2 linked regions of the Drosophila melanogaster genome follow. The protein of the gene in region 1 purifies or fractionates together with the protein of each later gene. This does not show direct contact. Each region holds a gene or a part of one and is shown in the gene's direction. Other genes may lie near its edges.

The links. The genes of interacting proteins can lie anywhere in the genome.
Region 2: the proteins of CNPYb (region 1) and yip7 purify together in Drosophila melanogaster (affinity purification with mass spectrometry, with the first as the bait; one large-scale study listed by BioGRID). This does not show direct contact.

What each region holds. Positions count from the first base shown.
Region 1 is NT_037436.4:19,087,094-19,098,453, reverse strand, and holds CNPYb (canopy b), read left to right. Parts: upstream 1-2,236; 5' UTR 2,237-2,311; coding exon 2,312-2,977; 3' UTR 2,978-3,564; downstream 3,565-11,360. Other genes in the region: CG14079 (uncharacterized protein), read right to left, coding at 1-185, 244-291; Naxd (NAD(P)HX dehydratase), read left to right, coding at 822-1,148, 1,227-1,802; MESR6 (misexpression suppressor of ras 6), read right to left, coding at 3,890-4,791, 5,014-5,055, 5,134-5,644.
Region 2 is NT_037436.4:6,031,449-6,040,820, forward strand, and holds yip7 (yippee interacting protein 7), read left to right. Parts: upstream 1-3,767; 5' UTR 3,768-3,794; coding exon 3,795-4,054; intron 4,055-4,110; coding exon 4,111-4,663; 3' UTR 4,664-4,727; downstream 4,728-9,372. Other genes in the region: CG10477 (uncharacterized protein), read right to left, coding at 2,287-2,845, 2,898-3,157; CG6462 (uncharacterized protein), read left to right, coding at 5,663-6,622; Jon65Aiv (jonah 65Aiv), read left to right, coding at 7,748-8,004, 8,082-8,640.

The sequences.
Region 1 (11,360 bases):
TTCAGTAGCTCGTGCATCTCCTCCAGGCAGCCCACGCTCTTGAAGTATCCCTCCATCGTGAACTGATCGTGGCACAGCATCGGAAAGCGAGGCTCCATGGGTCCAGTTCGAAAGTAGTAGCCCAAGGTCTTGATGGTGGCCTCCAAATATCCGTGTGAACAAAGCCAAACACCGGGACAAGTGAGCTGAAAATGGAAGGAGCCTTGATGTCACAGGTACACTTCAATCGACATAGCCACAAACCGCATGGAGCTGCAGATCTAACTTTACGTAGAATCTCTTGTGGGACATTTGCTGCCTGATCCTAAGTGAAAGTCTGCCGGAAAATAGCCAACTGCTTGGGGCGGGAATCGAGAATTGGGGGGCGAAAGCGCATGGTTCTTTGTTTTGGAGCCCACTGGTTGCCGGGGCAGCGGTTGAAAGTGAATTTCAAAGTCGATTACTGGTCGATAACGCAGGGAATTTTGATTGATAAGCAAAAGAGTTGAAAGTGATGTGTATAGAATGTATAGTGTAACTATACAATGTGAAGAGTACTTAAAGAATTGAATAGTTTTTGAATTAATTAAGAAATAATACAAAAATATGATAGTAAAATACTAAAAAAAATCTATTTTAGAATAATTAGCTAACTCACATTTTTCCATGTTTTCATTTTCTATAGCTTTAACTACTGATAATACGGCTTCCGTGGGAACAAAGTATTTCTCACAGTGATAGCAGCAACCGATAGGAAATCCCGACCACAATGTGCATCACTAGTCACAGCAATAGTAAACAGCGGGCACAGTCCACAAAGAAAACCATTGCCGCCGGTAGAGATGGCTGCAGTTTCGGATATTCCAGTGCACCTGCCCAAGCTGCTGGCTCTGTTCAAGACGGTGGTGCCCAAGCTGGTGAACAACAAGCACAAGGGACAGTACGGACGCATTGGAGTGATCGGTGGGTCCCTGGAGTACACCGGAGCGCCGTACTTCGCGGCCATTTCCTCGATAAGAGTGGGCGCTGACCTGGCGCATGTGTTCTGCCATTCAAATGCGTCGGCCATTATCAAGTCCTACAGTCCCGATCTTATCGTGCATCCAGTGCTAGACTGTGTGGATGCAGTGGAGAGAATAGCGCCCTGGTTAGAGCGACTTCACGTCGTTGTGAGTAGCCCCCCCCCCCCACCTACATACGTATATGCTACATTTATACAATTAAATGCTAAATTTAGAATCGTTAAGGTTATTGGACCTGGACTGGGTCGGGAGCCGGGCATCCTGAAGACGGCATCCAACGTACTCAAGCTGTGCATGGACACCAAGAAACCAGTTGTCATAGACGCCGATGGACTGTTTCTGCTCAACGACAATCTGAATCTGATCTGTGGACAGCCGAATGTCATACTCACGCCAAATGTCATGGAGTTCCAGAGACTGTTTGGCGAGGATGACCAGGCGGCGCGCCAGAAAATGTCCCTCCTGGGAGCCGGAGTAACTGTCCTGGAGAAGGGCGCCAACGACAAGATCTATCTCCCTCACTGCAACGAAGTTCACTCAATGCCTAGCGGCGGTTCCGGTCGCAGGTGCGGTGGACAAGGTGACCTGCTCTCCGGATCTTTGGCCACCTTCTTCTCGTGGTCACTGCAGTCGGGTGAACCCAATCCCGCCCTGGTAGCTGCATGTGCCTCTAGTTACTTTGTGAAAAAGTTAAACGCGGCTGCATTTCAAAAGTTTGGCCGCAGCCTACTGGCCAGTGACATGGTCAATCAAATACCCAGCGTATTTCAGACCGAGTTCGAAAACAGCGATCCTCAATAGTCATTTACTGGACTTTGAACTAATTCCAGCTGTTTGTTTTTTAAAACAAGGCGACCATTAACCGAATTTTCAATTATCGTGGGATTTTTAATGTCTTTAACAGAGAACATATTGGAATGGATAGAAATGTTATGGGAATTTTTTAATTGCATTTAAACAACGTAAGAACATCTGGTTCGTTAATTTGAAAGCTGCATCTTGTTACAGATAAAATGTTTCGGCATTCATAATAAAACCATATTGATTCAATTTTAATAAACCGTTTAAGCATGACTTCTGTTTTAATAAACAAATAAAATAAAATAAAAGTTTTTTTTAAATGTATGTAGGATAATAAATCATAAAAAAGAAAATAGATTTGATATAGATTATTTTAAAGGTATTGGCGGGAAAAAGCTAAGTCGTCGGTTCCGTTCGGTTGTTGGTGTTTTGCAGCACTGGTCTTCTCGCGAGCGGCATTTCCACGTCAGGTTTATTATTGTTTTTTTGGAATTTATCAAGCAGTGAAAATGCTCCTCAAAAGACTGCCTGGCTTTGTAACACTCTGGGTCGTCCTGCAGTTAGCCGGAGCTGATTCGCCCGAGGAGGAGCAAGGCGTTCGCTACGCAAACCGCTGCGAAGCCTGCAAAATCCTGGCCACCGAATTGGAAGCTCGACTTGGAGAGACCGGCAAGTCGCACGACGTCATCGAAATCGGATACTCCGTTGACGATGTGAAGCCCAAGAAGCGCACTGAATACCGGCGCAGCGAACTGCGACTGCTCGAGTCCCTGGAGAACGTGTGCGAGCGAGTGTTGGAGTACAATCTGCACAAGGAACGCTCTGACAGCACGAGATTCGCCAAAGGTATGTCCCAGACCTTCCAGACGCTCCATGGCCTTGTGGACAAGGGCGTCAAGGTGGATCTGGGAATACCCTACGAGCTGTGGGACAAGCCCCCGGTGGAGGTCACCCAAATGAAGACCCAGTGCGAAAACCTACTGGAGGAGTACGAGGAAACCATCAGCGAATGGTACTTTAAGCACCAGGATGAGAAGTCACTGAAGAAGCATCTCTGCGAGGACCATGTGCTCAAGAAAAAGGCCGAAAGGGAATGCCTCAAGGAGCAGCTTGCTCCTCCGGAGGCTAAAAAGGCCAAAAGGGAAAAAGCCAAGGGCGACAAGGAGGAGCTGTGAGCCAAATAATCCAAGTATATCCTAGGAATCCCTACCATATTGTAATTCCATGTCGAAAAATGTAGATGTAGTGCAGCTGTTGTCGATGCAATTTTTAAAAGTAACACAAATTTTAGTTTTTGAATGAACTCAAGCATTGACAAACTAAATGTAGTAGTTACTTAAATTCCAATGATCTTACTTTTTTTCGAAATGGAAATCATTTTAAGTTTTACCACCTATAGAACAAAGCGAAAAGTGTTTAATTAGCTTAAGTGAACTCACTATGTCTCTCAAGCTAATCTGTATAACTTCCACAACGACTGAGCCACAGAATGCTACTGAAAGTTTCGCCTGGGGCCATTGGCTTATTGATTTCGGCCACGAATTGGGGTCGACAATTAAAAGTTGACTGCCCTCAATGAGGTGGCCAGTCATAACCCCCAGCCAGAAATTCAGGTGTTCATGCCATGTCCATGTCAATAAATGAGATTTTGCGCATTTTCTAGGAACCTACGGCACTGAATGGAAGAGAGTTATCCTTAAATACATGTACATTTTATAACTAACATTTAGTATTTACGATTAAATATAGATTATCTGTGCATACACATTTTGATTTTACTGGGGCACCTAATATGTCGTTTAAAAGGTATCTCGTCGCGAAACCTTTCAAAGTTTAAAAACAAATTATTTTGAATATACCCAATTTGCATTAAATGAGTTTGTTTAATTGTCTGTAATAAATACTTCGCGTATATTTCAAAGTAAAAAATATTATTATAATTAGTATTGGATTTTCCATCATTAGGTTCTAATTCGAAATCACTACGGGTATCTTTTAGTCGTGGAGTTTTCCCGCCCAAACGAGTTTTGTAAATTCAGAATCTAATTCGCAGTGGCGGGCGAAAGAACCCCTAGTTATCCATAAGCTTAGAGCTTCATCACATCCCAAGGATCGTCCATATAGTGCAGGATGGCTTTGTCGTGCAGTCTTTCGCCAAAAACCTCCTTAAGCAGGCGTAGAACGCATTCCTCAATGAATGCCACCTGATCCTGGGGGCAGTAGTCATCTTGAGCGGAATGGGCCATTGTAATGGCCACTGGAGGAACTGGCAGGCGCTGTAAGAAACGCTTGAAGTTTGCAAAGTACGTTTCCAACTCTTCGGCGATGCTGATGTGGTGGGGCAAGCCATTATTATCGGTGGTGCTGCCCGAATCGAAGATCAAATGCCAGTCGATTTCATCGTCTGGATATTTCTCCTGCAGCTGATCGGCCAGTTTCACAATCTTGGCGTACACTTCGGGCGTGACCACGGTCTCGTCCGGCTTTTCCAGTCCCTCGAAATTGCGCTCCTCCTCCAGATGCCAGAAAATCGTCTTCAGTGCATCCAACTGAGTCTGTCGCCTCTCTGCCGTGGCCAAATAATCTGCTATAGTAGCCGTGCCCGACTTCTTCACCTTCTCCACGCTTTCGAAGTGGAAGATCTCCTTTAGCTGATTGTAGCAATCGGCATCCTTGTATATTTCCAAGAAGGGGTTGGAGGTGCTGAAAAAGTCGAGGTCTATGTCCAGCACGAATCCCTTGGCGTCCTTCTCCGTTAGGAATTCGTTCGGATTGAGGCTTTCGTTGTCTGCATCGTGAACCTGCAGCTCCACGCTCTTGGCATCCTGCAGATCCTCCGTAGTGCAGTAGTTGCCGTCGGCAATAAAGTAGTCCAACGGACAGTCCACTCCAATGCGATCGTCCTTTTGTCCAACCTTAAAGTCGTGCCTGCCAGTGGGCAGCTGCTGGCACCATGAGTTCTTCAGCCACACGACGCGGTTGAAATGTCCTAAGAGCAAGTAATATAGCAATAAGTTATTATTTTACACTAATTTCTATAAGAAAATGCAATTATAGCTAATTAATGTCATTAGACTCATCACAGTTAATAAGTTTTTGGTTTGAAATCCTTTAAATGTAGAAAGGAATCTTTTTGACAACAGTACTCAATGGATATTTAGCAGTTACTAAGAGATAATCTTTAAATATTAAGTTCTTAGTAAAATTAGACCATAGAACTTTTTTATTTGTCCTTTTACATTGTTTTCTATTTCTAGAAATAAAATAATAGCATTTAATATTATATTTCTATATAATATAGTTCTCTTCGATTCCCCATAGAAATCCTCACCTGCATAAAGTGTGGGCATGATCCAGTTCTCGATGCTAAGCTCATTTAACATGGTTTCCTTTTGGTAGGTGGAACTGGCGGCAATGTGCCGTGGAATGACCAGATCCGGATGCGAGTCGAAGTGGACAAGGGTGTTGTTCTGCAGCGGAAGGTGGCGGGTGGCAAAGCAGCGGTAGATGAACTCCAGCACATCGTTGTGGTAGTCGACGATAAAGACGGGGATGCGCTGGAAATGCCTTGGGCTGATGGTGCCGCCAATCTGGACGATGCCCTCGCCATCATCCTCCTCCTCATCAACGCTCTCCTCGCTATCCTCGTCTTCCTCCCGATTCTCCTCCTTTTCGTCTGCAGTCTTTTGTCTCTTTGTTGGCGGCGCCTCTTCTCCCCCACCCGCCGCAACCCACTCTCCCGAAGTCGGCTCCCATTTCTTCGAACTTTCGGGACTTTCACTTGGCGATAGTTTTTTTAGAGCAGCCGCGGCACTCTCCTGGTCCAGCGTATCCGATTCCATTTCCCTCGGGATTACTTTGACTGTACAACTGGGTCCTTAGCACACTGTTCAATTACTTGCACGGTAAGCAGACTTAATTTCTTTTGTATTTAATATTTTGGGGGTCTTTGACCATTAACAGCTGTTTGGCAGTGTGACCAGATTGCTGTCTAGCACAAGTTTCCCGTATTGCTAAAAATGGTAGCCCTATAATAAGGTCACATTACATAGGACCCAACTATCGATGTATCGATTAAAGTTGTGTCCGTTTAATTTAAAAGTTTTTTCTACACATTTTCCATATATTGTACCTTATTTTGTCAATTACTTGAGACGTTGAGTATTTTTTGATATAACTTAAAATAAATTTGATTTTTTAAAGCATTCGCTTTGAAATCTAGAATCTAGAATGTAGAATCTAGAAAATGTTAAAAATGTTAAAAATAACAAAATTTATTAAAAACTAAAAAAAAAAATATTTTAATATTATCAAAATAGTACACCTATTTCTATATTCATATCACTTTGATAGTGGTAAACGAAAATAAGAAGTAAGGAGAGAGTATCTCATAGTCGAGACACTAGGGAGTAACCTTCTTCTTGCGACTCTCGTGCAACCAAGGAAAGATTTGAATTTCAATTTGCAAGTTCTTGAAACAATTTTTCGAACAGCAGTGTTCATTAATTAAACAGCACTTTATAAGCTCAGCCAGCACACGAGCTCTTTGCCATCCGCAATCCAAATGTCTCACACTCCCCTCCAGCAACTCGCCCCCCCCCCCCACAAGACCCTTTTATCCTCAACCTTCGGCCCACCGGCCACCCACATTTCAAGGTTACTTCAGATTTGGAGACTTTGCCTCCAATCAATATTCCGTGTGTATCCGCAGCTTGGACGCTGGCATAATGCGATTGCCATCGAGCGAGTGATGGGGGGCGGGGGTCGGGGGGTGCTGAGCGGCCTCTGGAGCTTTTAGCCCCCAAAAAGCTGGCCCAGCGTTCCGCCCACGCTGCGCAGAAGCTTTTCATTCATAAGTTTTTATTATATCTGTACATATGTAGTAGGTATATATTTGTATATCTATGTGTATATATATACATTTGCATTTGCAGCGGAGGGAATCGGACGCCCACATGGCTGATTGGAATGCGTAAAACACTGCCGCTGTGTGTGTGTGTGTCTGTGTATCTGCGAGTTCGACTTTGTATCTGTATCTGAGCGCTAGTATCTGCGTTCGTCTTTTTCGCCCTTTGCAGCTGGTGGAAATGAATGGCGCGGCTCGGTTGTCTGGAAAAGCGCCGACAGCGCTGCTCGGGCGTTGGCGTGCAATGTTTCCGCCGTCGAGCGTTATCAAAAAATATAACTGTATATAGACTTTTGTGGGTGTCCCTGTACATACATAGGCGACACTCTTCTTTTATTACCGTTTACATTTTATTTTTGGCCAAGTTTTCGCGTGGGCCGAAACACCCTCGGTGGCGTCCATTACGCCGAGTACCACGTTGCCATGTAAAATCTTTACTACCACGATATCTTAATTAATCCGTTTAGGATTGAAGTCTGCTCTCGTTGAAGTTTTTCATTTCATTGCCGTACAACTACAACTGCATCACTAGAAACTAGTAATAAATAGTACTTAAAAATTCACACATTTTCTTATCAAATTGTTACCAGTATAAGTTGATTTGCTGACCAAAATATTATGCTCAATTATAGGTTTTAGAGCAGTAATCAAGGACGAAGATTCCATGAAAGATCTATATCTCCATGTTACTTATGTTGACCGCCTAATTATCGAGCTCGCTGGCACACTGAGAGAAATTGTTTTTGATTGGGGGGCTTTCCCCAGCCCTTATAACGCAACGGAAGTGCCAACTTCGAGAGCATCGGCCCCTTAACTCGATCAATTGGCTGCAATTTGGCTTCTCGTTTTTGTTCTTGTATCAATTACAGCAGCTCTGCGCTTTCTCTAGCTGTCGCACCCAATTCTCGCAATTAATTTGCCTTCAGCTTGACCCTGGAGGTCAAACACTGGCTCGCATTAACCTTCGTTGGCCCCTCCGACGAATCAATTGGGGAAGGATGGCACGGATGGGCGATGACAACCACGATGACGATGGCAAAAAAAGGAGGAGGGGGGTGGCAGGAATTTCTACTCTTGATTGCTCTACTTTAAAATGAAATCCTATAAAGTAAACATCAAAAAAAGATACAGATTGATTGAGATTCTAGATATTACTTTTAGATTGCCACTCAAAAATACAGTAATCAGATGAACATTGAGATATTTCAATATTAAAAAAAAATCTTTCTTCTCCACAACAACTTTTAAACAACGTTAAAGAATTTATAATCTTTAATCTTTCGCTTATAATCACAATTGAAGCACATAAGCTTTAAACTTTAATACAATCTTAGAAAGCTTTTATGCAATATTTTCATTCTTTTAGTGTTAACAATCTTAACCGTAAAGTAATTAATATTTAAAATATTTTTACTTACTTAGTACTTATTCATACTAAATCGTAGTTCTTTCCCACGTGATGTCTTCAAACACATGATCTTGACTAAGTGATGAACAATGTTATTTACAACTTTTGCAATCAGTAAGCCGGTAAAGAAAGTGCAGAAAATTCATTGAGCAGCCCCCGAATGACGTCAACAGGATTTTGAGTCTGGCGTAGGTGCCCCATTTCCCTGTAGCCCTGTGAATTTTATTTTATTTTATAACTTTCCCCTTTGGAAGGAACACGTGGCACCGGCTGCTGTTTAAGCCACCTTGAGTGAAGTGGCCAAAGTGAAATGAGTCAGTGGGCCCGACAAAACCAATCCCAAAAGTGAGTACAACCAACGTCATTCGCATTCTAATTCGGTGAATAGGTAAGTCGTTTGGTCAGGTCGCCGTTTGTTTCGTATCAATCGTAACTTTTGCTCGCGTGGGCGCTCAAAGCCAACAGATTCTTTCACATCTGCCGTCCCGACTCGTCATCCTTTCTTCTTTTTTAGCGTCCGGTGCAGATCTGATTTTTTAGACATTTTTTAGCACTGGAAACAGATACTTCCCAAGAGGATTCACATTCTACAATGACGAATTACTTATCTTCAGATGAGGAGGGATATCAGTTCGTATATGGGATGAATCTTGGATTTCTTGTCAATCTATGCATGCTATTTGATATATAATTATAATTATCAAATAGTATTGTAAAACGAAAAACTTTAATTGCATTGTTGCAGAAATGTTAACTTATATTTATATTTTGTCATAACTTGTTAAATTCGTGTTCATTTATTAATGTCTGTTTTAATCAAAGCTATTATTAAATGATAATTTAATTTTTTATCACCGTTTTTGGCTACCAATTTGAACCAACACTTGTCTGGAACGACGTCATCGGAGTGCCCAGAATCATGGAGATTGGGAACATATGTATATATTGAGATATTGAGAATCTGTGAGATACTTCAGCCTCTTCGCTCTGGTCAAACGTCAAACGCACATTGATCGACGATTGTTGATCGACCATTGTTGATTCTAGAGACCCGTGGCGCCCACCGACATCCGCTGTTCATATGGGCGAGTGATTCACAGAGATCTCGCGGAACGGAACTCTGGGGGCTGGACATGGATATATGGATGTGGGCTGGATTCGAGAACCCAATTGCGAGTGTGAATGCGAGTGTGAGTACACACATTTCAGAACGGGCGAAACGGAAACATGAATGGCAGATAAGCGGACGCGCCAATTCTTAATCCCATTCCAGTTGTTTTAGGTCAGTAAAGCAGAATGCAAAACTAGTGTGGGAGAATGCCGTTGAGCTAACTAACTGCATTTAAGAAATAATTATATTGCTTCAGCTAGTTAATAAACGTCCAAATTATTAGAAGGCAATATTCATCTCGTAGCAATAATTATCCTATACTCATATGAGTTTTGTAACTATGAAAAGGTTTCAGCACAGCGATAACTAATAACTTGCTGGGAAATATCTGTTAGAAAGTATACGCAGTTAATGGTCTTTCTTGATAACAATGAGTGGAAAAATAACACCAGATAATGAATAAAACCCTGCAAAGCTCATATAAGTAGTATCGCACATTGCGAATCACGATGATCCATATTTCCCCCATTTCTCAGAACTTTTCACTCATTCAAGCCGATATGGCTATGACTGATCTATACACGCACCATATAAAAACACTCGGGAAAGCGTCATCATCTTCATATTGATTATACGTGGGGTCTGATAATCAAGGTAAAGGCCGTAGCTTGCGCAATTTAGATTGACAATCGTGAGGTGCAGAAATTTAATTGAATTCTTCACTTTCGACATCAGTTTCCTGCTAAAACACAGATAATGCCCCAAAGTGATTCATTGAGCTATACAAGTGGGTTGGGTATTCCATTTTGGCTGCGAGCAGACTTTGAACTTGTGTCATCGAAGAATGGAGCCCGGAGGACGACCGACCTTGGCTTCTACACTGTCAGAAATACATATATGTATCGCCAAGGTCAGCCCACCAAAGACACTTGGAAGGCGCAATTGAGCAGCCTTTTGAAACAGCTATCCAGGTGCTTACTTCTAATTTCTTCATACTTGAGTGATACACTGACAGTAATTATGTACAACTTTCGATGAATACAAAAATTAATGGTAATATGTGTGTTTACACTTTTGTGTTTACTGAAGCGTAAATAAATAAATGCTTAAATGATTTCATATTATAACAAATATTTCTTAGTATTATATATAAATATATATATATATTTTTTGTGTGTGTTTTTATTATTAAAGAAATCCTTTTGAAGTACGCATGTTTTCTTTGTATTGAGACTGCTGAAAGAAAATGTAATTTATTAAAGAGCCGCTCAATTTTTCCCTGTGCACTCCCTTGCAACATTCCGGCTGGCCTCCCACGCGCCAGGGCCGAAAGCAGAGTAAAGTCCTGGGGAATAACGCCCTTGGAATCTCAGGAGCCGCGTGCCAAGACGAAAGTGAGCAGCGAGAAATGCGTGGGCTGAGCATGGATTTCGTATGGCCGTTTCTTTCCCTCGCCGACTGTCTCCCTCTCTGTCTGCTTGGCTTTCTTTATTGCTCCAACGGTTTTCGCTGCTGCGTGGGACTTTCATTCATGAAAATTGTGCTCGAAAGTCGTTCGTTCGTACATCTGTATATAGTAGCACGTTGTGATGGGCCTTACCTAACGGTATATGGTGTGTATGGGTGTGCGTTTTATGTAAAGCTAGTGCAACGCAGGCGCAGCAGGAAGTTTGTTGTTTGTGGAGAAATTTTTGCACGCGCCGCATATCCTTGAAATTGTCCTTCCATGCGATTTCTGTATGGGTACACACGTATATCCTTGTGTGAGTCTCTTCTTTTTGGGTGTAAATATCAGGGTCATGGTTATAAAATTAAACATTTCATCGAGTCTCCAATATAACTGGCTCTTGGAGGAGCATTTGCGCAGGAGCTTTCGTTAGAGAGTAGACAGCGACTCCATTGATGATTCCGATTCTTCTGGGCTCCGTAATTTCTTATCTGTCTAAATTAGTGGTCCATTAACTTTTGCACTCTAGTGAAGTGAAATGTTAACCGCGCTCTCGCAAAAAGAGAGTAACAATAAAGTAGGTTCCATCGCGAAGGGTAAGGTGGGTGGTGGTGGGAGTAGTGGGAGAGTGAGAGAGAGCTAGTTTGGATGGCGAATTCAATGAATCAACACGAACACACGCATTT
Region 2 (9,372 bases), about 13 Mb from region 1:
GCTTTGTATGCCAGTCACGTGGCACGCAACGACAACTTGGGATTTGTTAAGTGGCGCGTCGTTTTTGATGTACGGAATGTTTAGCGGAGGTCCTCAGGCATTCTAACTCCTCGTATTTCCTTTCTTTTGTTTTTTTTTTTTTTTGTAGGTGAAAAGTCCATCACGTGTCCCGGACATTTTGCACATAACTTGTTTCAGCGTTTTTATTGCCAACTTCCTCTTCCGGTTTGAATGCACTGCGAATGTCTTTTGTTTTTGCCCACCTTGCGGTTAATGGTCCTTCGACTGGCAAAAAACCAGTGCGGCAAGCACTCCAGAAACTCCATCAGCCATGGCTGATTCGATTTTGCGATGTGTACCTTTGCTTTTAGTGATTGAAATCGCACATTTTAAGTGAAAAAGCGCACACAGAAGTGCACTCAATCATTCGTCACGTGATTCAGTCGGCGCGGAGTGAAGACCTCCCTCTTCCACTACCAGACTTTTCCGGCTTTTCCCGCCATTCTCCGAGCTCCTCGTGCAAATGTTTTTCTTAGTTGGACACCGAGTGGAAAGTGTTGGAGCGCCAGGGCTGTGTTTATATAAAAGATTACGCCACCAGATGAGAAATGGAGACACAATTGTTCATGTTGTTTATTGTTGAGGGGTAGTGAGAAAATGAAAAGCCAGCGATAATGCCACGTAAATGTTTTGAATGCGAAATCAATAGGGAAAAACAGCTTTAAGTCAAGCGCAAATTCAATAGGAAAAATTCGCATGGTAAACTTGAAGCGAAAAACTTTTCTAATTTGCGCATTATGAAAATTGGGTTCCTGCATAAAAATTCACCAGCAATCCCGAAAACGAGAATTAAGTGAAAAGCAATTTTTGAGCCTAGTCAAAAGGGAGAAAATGAATGTAAGGAACTGAGAAAAACTTTTCCATTAAGAAAATTAACTGAGATTAAGTGGGGCCCTATGCTTTAGTGCCCACCGAAAACTTTATCCAATTGGGACGGATCAAAATTGCAACAATTTCAAGGCATTTAAACAGTTGTCACATACACACCCACTCACACACAACCAAAGGAAGTGGGCCGGAAGTGAGCTCGAAAACGGAAGCAGCCCACAACACATGAAATTGGCTTAGGGAAGGAAGTGGGAGGCAGGCTAAGGGGAAGGGACTTTATTTGTTGCCTGCCACACTTCGGTTGCTTGTTTGTCGGCGTCGTCCTCGTCGATACTAATCTAATTTTATTGATATTGACACAATTTCTGCAGATTTCCGCATAAACATAAAAACAGAGCTCGAACCTTGGAGCTTCGGCTCAAGTAGCAAAACAGTCAAGGCACGCAAACAAATGGTATCTAATAAAAATTGAACAAAAAGCAAACAAAAGTTCGATGATGCGGCCGCCATTGGATGGAAGTCAAACAATACTGAAGTGCTCGGCGGCCATTTCCGTTTGCAAATGGAGAACACAAGAAATATCAGTCTAGGCAATACTGTATTATAGAAGTTTGAAAAACAATTCATAGAATAGTGTAACTTGTATATAGCAAATAGATTTTCTTAACATAATAATAATCGTACTCATTTTATTTCATTGTGAAAAATTTAAAATCACATTTTAAGGTGTGTAGATATTATTAAGCTTAACGTTCATTTTATATTATATCAAGCAAATCTAAGTCCAAGTGAAAATTCCCAAAATTAATCGCTTTGTATTTGCCCAAGATAAGGTAACATTAATTTCGGGTATTACCCACTTGAAAATTTACAATCCAATTGATAACTAATACAGATTTTTATTGATACGGATTTTAGCTTTCTGCTTGATAAGCCAACCAGTTTCGGAAACTTAATCGTTTGACACGGGAAGGTAAACGTAGTTAGTAGATTTCTTGTAGAAAAAAAACCATTTAAACTCTAATTTCCCCTACCAGGTGGGACTAAGCTTCGTCGGTACGGAGAGCGGCTGGTGGTGCTTCATTTGGCTCACCCGATGGCTGCCAGGTTGGGCAGGATGTGGGCTGGATCAAGGCCATTTTCTAATATTTTTAACAATAATAAAAAAACGTTCTAAAATTCTTGGTATTTTCTTGTATGGAATGAATAAAAAGGTTCCTTATTACGTAATTAATACTCAAAATATTTGTTTTAGATAAGAAAAAGATAAGGGTATGTCCAACATAAAAAACATAATCAGTTACAATTCAGATTGCGCTGTTGGGTTCATTCCTATAGCCGCTCAAAAATAGGCAATGCTTTTTAGGAATATGAAAACTGGACTGCGTGGCTTTACGGCTAATAAAACACACCGGACTGGTTCTTGATCCAATCCAGATAGCTGGTGACGCGGGTGAAACCAGCAGGCGCATTTTTCTCACATCCCTTGGAGGACACAAACGAGGTCACACCAATTAGTCTATTGTTCAAAGCCAACGGACCGCCAGAATCGCCCTGACAGGTCGACTTCTTGTTGATGGACTCCACGCAGATAACTCCACTGGTGACCACAGATGACCCAAAGGTCTTCTGACACACAGCATTGGTAATGACCTGAAATTGTGCGTATTGAAGGTTCGTGGCGACGGCAATGCTGGAATCGGAGGTCCTGCCCCATCCGGAAGCCACTGCAGTCTGTCCGGCGTAGGTGGAGTAGCTGCTGGCGATGGCGGGCAGGGCAATCTTATTTATGGAAACCGTAAAAGTGACGGATGGAGTCTTGATCAGGGAGATGTCGTTGCGCAAAGTAGCCGCATTGTAGCCGGCATGCTGCACAAACTTGGAGCTGGAGACCTTTTTCTTCAGTTTGGCACTAGTGCGAACGGTGGACCCATAGTAGATGGTCACGGAAGAGGCTCTAACAGAATAAATCTTAAATCGATTATCGATTTTTTAAAAAAATTACTCACCCTTTGGTGCAATGAGCAGCAGTTAGTACCCATGTATTCGCTATTATTGAACCACCGCACCACCAACTGCCAGCCGAGCTTTTAAAACTGAGTCCCACCTGGTAGGGAAACTGGTTAGCAGCTGCCTTGTTTCCATTGGTAATGCGACCATCTATGGACGGAACAGCTGAGCTATCACGGGGATGTACTGGAGTGTCCTGGCGCAGGATATCAGCAGAAACTGTGGCAATTGCCAAGACCAAGACAGCAAAAACCTTCATCTGGATCGAATACACTTTAAAGAGTGAGCAATTTCTGGTATTAAGGATCATTTTATATTGTCTTTGAAATCAGCAGCGAAACAACAGAATTGTAAATCTTTAACCATTAAATAGGCTTAAAAAGGTCTTAAAACCACTGTACCTTACATCATTATGGCAATATTGCTTCCAATTTACCAAGAATTAAATAAAATAAAAGCAAATGTTTGCTTTGGAATCTTTTTATAAAGTCCTATTCTTTATGGCTTACTCTTTAAGTTACAACGTAAATAGGCAGTTAAGATAAAGAAATATTGATAAGTAATAAATAATTGTTTTTAACCAAGCAAATCCCAACTAGCAAAACAAAAGCACAAAAGTGGTAATGCTACCAAAGTAATTATCTTTTATTCGCACAATTTGAAAGTCCCTAATTTGTGATGAAGAAATAAATGCCAGTAGCTACATTAATATCTTATCAAATAGAAAAATTTTACAAAAGCGCCATATAATAAACTTAAAAAAATTTTTGCGACACTTAATCAGAACATTTAAGTGGACTTGCCCAGCCATCTATGCAGATAAGATTTCTCAGTCTGGGTATAAAAGAGGCCGTGTTGGAAAGGGAAAATCACTCATAGTTTGAGCAACCATCAGCATGAAGGTTTTCGTAGTTTTGGTTCTGGCTCTGGCCTCCGCCTCCGCTGGGCTCCTGCCCAATATTGCCCCTGTACATCCCCGTGACAGGGTCTCGACCCCATCCATCACCGGTCGCATCACCAACGGCAAGGACGCCGTTGCCGGCCAGTTCCCCTACCAGGTGGGACTTAGTTTCTCCAGCTCTGCTGGCAGTTGGTGGTGCGGTGGCTCCATCATCGGAAACGAGTGGGTGCTGACTGCTGCTCACTGTACCGACGGGTAAGTGCATTTTCCGTCCTTCAAGACCAGGTCTAATGAGAGTATTTCCAATATAGTGCCGCCTCCGTGACCATCTACTACGGTGCCACTGTCCGTACTAGCCCCGAGTTCACCCAAGTCGTCAGCAGCTCAAAGTTTAGGCAGCACGAAAGCTACCTGGCTTTGACCATCCGCAACGACATCTCCCTGATCCAGACTTCGTCCGTGTCCTTCTCGGCTACCGTGAACAAGATCAGCCTGCCCGCCGTCTCCAACAGCTACTCCACCTACGAGGGAAAGACCGCTGTTGCCTCCGGATGGGGTCTCACCTCCGACCAAGCCACCGCCGTGTCTCGCGATCTGCAGTACGTGGACCTTACCATCATCTCCAACTCCAAATGCCAGGAAACCTTCGGAAGCCTGATCGTGACCAGCAGGGTCCTCTGCGTTGACACCACCAACAAGGCCTCCACCTGCCAGGGTGATTCCGGCGGCCCATTGGCTCTCGATGGTGTCCTCATCGGTGCCACCTCCTTTGGATCCGCTGATGGTTGCGAGTCTGGCGCACCAGCTGCTTTCACCCGTATCACTTACTATCGCGATTGGATCAAGGAAACTTCCGGTATCTAAGTGTTGAAGTATGAAATATGAAAACTGCAAAATATTATAAATAAAACTGTAATCATGATTTTACACATGTTAGACTTTTAAATAATGTCTAGAGATTGAGATCTACTCTCTTACCGTTTAATGAATCAGATTTCATAATAACTCTTATAGACTAACTTAATACACTTCTGGCTTTTGATATCGCCAAAGTGGGTACTTTATGATCGGTGACGAAATCGGGGCCTTGGATTGTAAAACCCCACAGCCATTCAACTCCAGGAAAATTATCAATGGCCTTTCATGTGTCGAAATGCAGGCGAAGGTGTGCAGTAAATTAAACAAATAATAAACTAAGCGTTGATAAAACGACAGTCAATAAATACAGAGACCCCGACCCAGACATTCTGGCCAATGTTGGGGGCTAAGACTGAAATCGTGCAATTGAGGACCCGGGAAAATGGGGGGTTCGAAAGCAATTAAGGAAACTGCAGTATGCCAAAGGGAGACGAAGGCCTAGCCTAAGCAACATAATCGCCAAAACGTGCGGCAATTACACGGTAGCTGGAGGAATTGAATGCCAAACATCTGCTGCTCCTCCCGTCTCCGTATAATTTGCACTCGGCCCAAGCAAATTCAATTAACAAACGATGCGGACACGTGCCGCATCCAAGTCGATGACGCAATGTCGATGCCACAATCGCTGACTATAAAAACACCAGCAAATACAACAACAAGCCCAGTACTTCACGTGAAGAGCCCACTCAGACCTGAACTTGGACTAACTCATTACGAGGAACATCAGCTATATATATAATATATGTAAATAAAAAGGCAATTCATTCATAAATTTCATTCAACATAATGAATAGAGTTTCCTATTCACATATTTAAGGGGGGGGGGGGGGCGGGGGGTATTCTATGAATTTGGTCAGAAAAAGGAAATATTACATTTAAAAGATATAGTATAGAATGCAATAACAGGTATTCCCCATATTATTTTTTCAATTCCGTAGTGATAAAATGGCGCAATACCAGGCTACAAGTGCTTTCTTCCTGCTACTTCTATCATCCACACTAGTTAAATCAAGTGAGCCTTGGCTAGATACTTTTGAGCACCCCAAAGAGGAGACACCGGACGATGACGATGCAATCATGGAAAGACGTTGGCAGCTTGGCTACGAAAACTTTCGACTTCGCTGCGAAAAATTCGAGATGGAAGGTAATCAAACCGCTGCTGTGAGAACTCGAATAGCTGGAGGAGAATTGGCCACGCGCGGCATGTTTCCCTATCAAGTGGGTCTGGTGATTCAGCTGAGTGGCGCAGATCTGGTCAAGTGCGGTGGTTCCCTTATCACTCTTCAATTTGTTTTGACTGCAGCCCATTGTCTGACCGATGCCATAGCTGCAAAGATATACACGGGCGCCACCGTATTTGCCGATGTAGAAGACTCCGTGGAGGAGTTACAAGTCACGCATAGAGATTTCATTATTTATCCTGATTACTTGGGATTTGGAGGATATAGTGACTTGGCTTTAATACGACTGCCAAGAAAAGTCAGAACTTCAGAACAAGTGCAACCCATTGAGTTGGCTGGGGAGTTCATGCATCAAAACTTTCTGGTAGGCAAAGTGGTGACCCTATCTGGCTGGGGTTACTTGGGAGATTCAACCGACAAACGGACGCGACTCCTCCAGTACTTAGATGCGGAGGTGATCGATCAGGAACGCTGCATCTGCTATTTCCTGCCAGGATTGGTTAGCCAGCGACGTCACCTGTGCACCGATGGAAGCAATGGACGTGGTGCCTGCAATGGCGACTCCGGTGGCCCCGTTGTGTACCACTGGCGCAATGTTAGCTACCTGATTGGGGTCACCTCGTTCGGCAGTGCCGAAGGATGCGAGGTGGGGGGTCCCACTGTCTACACCAGGATAACCGCATATTTGCCATGGATCCGACAGCAAACGGCAATGACCAACTAAATGCAATTAACGCCTAATTGCAGCCCATTAATTGCTAAACAATATAGTCGGCCCAGACAATAAAACCAATTTGAGCAATGAAACCAAAACAGGTTCTTCTGTCGAGAAAGGAAGGTGCAAATGGTCCATTTTATGTGTGGTTGTTTTCTCTTGAATGAAAATTGTTACCGATAAATAACAATAAACATTTCGGCATTGCAGAAGAGCAAGTCAATTTGGGGAGCTCAATAAGGGCACAAAAGAAAAATTACATTGCCATGGAAATTGCTGATGAATCGCCACTGAAATTGAAATCATTGGGTTGAGTGTCCGTTTTTGGTGAGGGCATATTGGGTACAGACCGCAGCGCCTCCTCCCGCTAATCGCCTTCAATTGGCCATCTGAATTGGCTATTAACCGCAGTGATGTGGTCGGTTGAACGCGTCATAAAATCACGCGGCTTTCGCTGATAAAGAAGGCTGCGGTTGCGAAAACAACTGAAATTTGCGTGTTTGTAATCAAAGAGAGAGTCCAGATACGCAATTGTTAGACGGCGGTATGATTTCCTATGAAGTTTAAGCAGTCTTGACCAACTCACGTCCTACTCCTTGACCTTTATCGAAGGTAAACAAACCCAACTAAACTGTGGGCTTACGGCTTCTCACCCTATAGACAGGAGATAAGATAGCACTCGACTACCATGGGAATTATAAGATACGCTGAAGAGCAAAGCAAACCTTTGCCAATTTTGTATCGCAATATATAGTTATGTATATATCGCGTATGTGTAAAACTAATCAAATTAATTAGCAACCCCATGCTAGGCCTTTGGTATCGCAGCGGCTCGATCTGGAAATCCACTCGAAGCCCATAGCCCTGATTAGATCCGTATCGGGATTAATACTCTTGGATTGGGAAAGTAATTTTGGCGACCGTGTGGCTGAAGTTCATTCATTCATATCTTCGGCACAAAATCTCAACAGATAAGGTAGTTCGAACCGACTTTAGTGGTCCTATCTAATCGGGACAGCTCTATTTCTGAATTGCAACCCAATCGCAGACGCGACTTGGCCAGTATAAAAGACCCCAGCTGGTCCTTGGCCAAACAGTTGAGTTCCCTTAACTGAACAAGCAACAATTCCCAAGATGAAGTTCCTGATCATCCTTGCCCTGGCTGTGGCCGCCTCCGCTTTCCCCGAGCCGGAGCTGCGCCATCGCAGCCGCGAGATGCCCGTCGTTGGCGACATTGGAGGTCGCATCACCGGAGGAAGCAACGCCGCCGTCGGCCAGTTCCCCTACCAGGTGGGACTTTCCCTGAAGCTGAGTGCTCTGTCCAGCGCCTGGTGCGGTGGTTCTCTGATCGGCAGCACCTGGGTCCTGACCGCTGCTCACTGTACCGATGGGTGAGTGTCCCTTGAAGGAATGCCGAAAATATCTTGGAACCAATGTCCTAACCAATTGTATGTTTGATTTATCGCAGAGTTCAGTCCGTGACCGTCTACTTGGGCGCCACCGTGCGCACCTCCGCCGAGATCACCCACACCGTGTCCAGCTCCGACATCATCATCCACTCCGGCTGGAACAGCGCTAACCTGCGCAACGACATCTCCCTGATCAAGATCCCCGCCACCTCCTCCAGCAGCAGGATCTCCGCCGTCAAGCTGCCAAGCATCTCCAACTCCTACTCGACCTTCGTCGGTGACGTCGCTGTCGCCTCCGGATGGGGACGCACCAGTGACACCTCCAGTGGTGTGGCTACCAATCTTCAGTATGTCGACCTGACTGTGATCACCAACACCAAGTGCGCCCAAACCTACGGCACCTCGGTCGTGACCGACTCAACCCTCTGCGTGGCCACCACCGACGCCAAGTCCACCTGCAACGGTGACTCCGGCGGTCCTCTGGTCCTCAAGTCGTCCAGCGAGCAGATCGGTCTGACCTCATTCGGTGCCTCTGCCGGTTGCGAGAAGGGCTACCCCGCTGCCTTCACTCGTGTGACCAGCTACCTGGACTGGATCAAGACTAACACTGGCATCTAGGAAGGAGTCAGGAACTACAATTTCGCTTAAAAATAAAAATCATTTCTAAAAAATTCAAAAGTTTTATAGCTCTATAGGGGGAATTTCGGAAACGTAGATCTTCATTTATAAATTTCTTTACTCAATATAGATCAAAAGAGAACTTATGTTCCCAGTTTGAGGGTCGTCGGTTATAGTAACAATCCATATCGTCTTGTACATATGCTTTTGTCTAAAATCAAAAATCATCACAAAACAGACAAATGAAAATGAATGCAGAACCAAGCTGTTACTGGCATTCGGCGAGTAAGTTCTCATTAAAATTCATTAAATTGCCAAGCGACACAATTTTTTTTTTTTTTTATTAATTTTTATTATTTATTGAATCTTCCCTTTGTGTTAAGAGACTAACAATAAGTGTTCAAATCTTAATCTAACTTAATTAACTTTCACTTAGTGATAGTTTTTTTTTTTCATTAATGCCCTAATAAGTTTATTGCTGGGCTGGGAGGTCGTTGCGGTGCAGCCGGCTTTGACTGCATACTCGGATTAGTTTTCTTGCGAGGGGATTTGTATGGGTGGTCAGCTTTTCGTTATACTTCGTTTTTTTCTCAGCTATTACTTCGATTACTAATTTGATTTTTAGGTCTCTGTGTATGTTTTCGTTCCGAAGGTACCACGGCGCTCCAGTGATAATTCTCAGAATTCTTGACTGTGCTCGCTGAATAATGTCTATGTTACTTCTGGATGCGT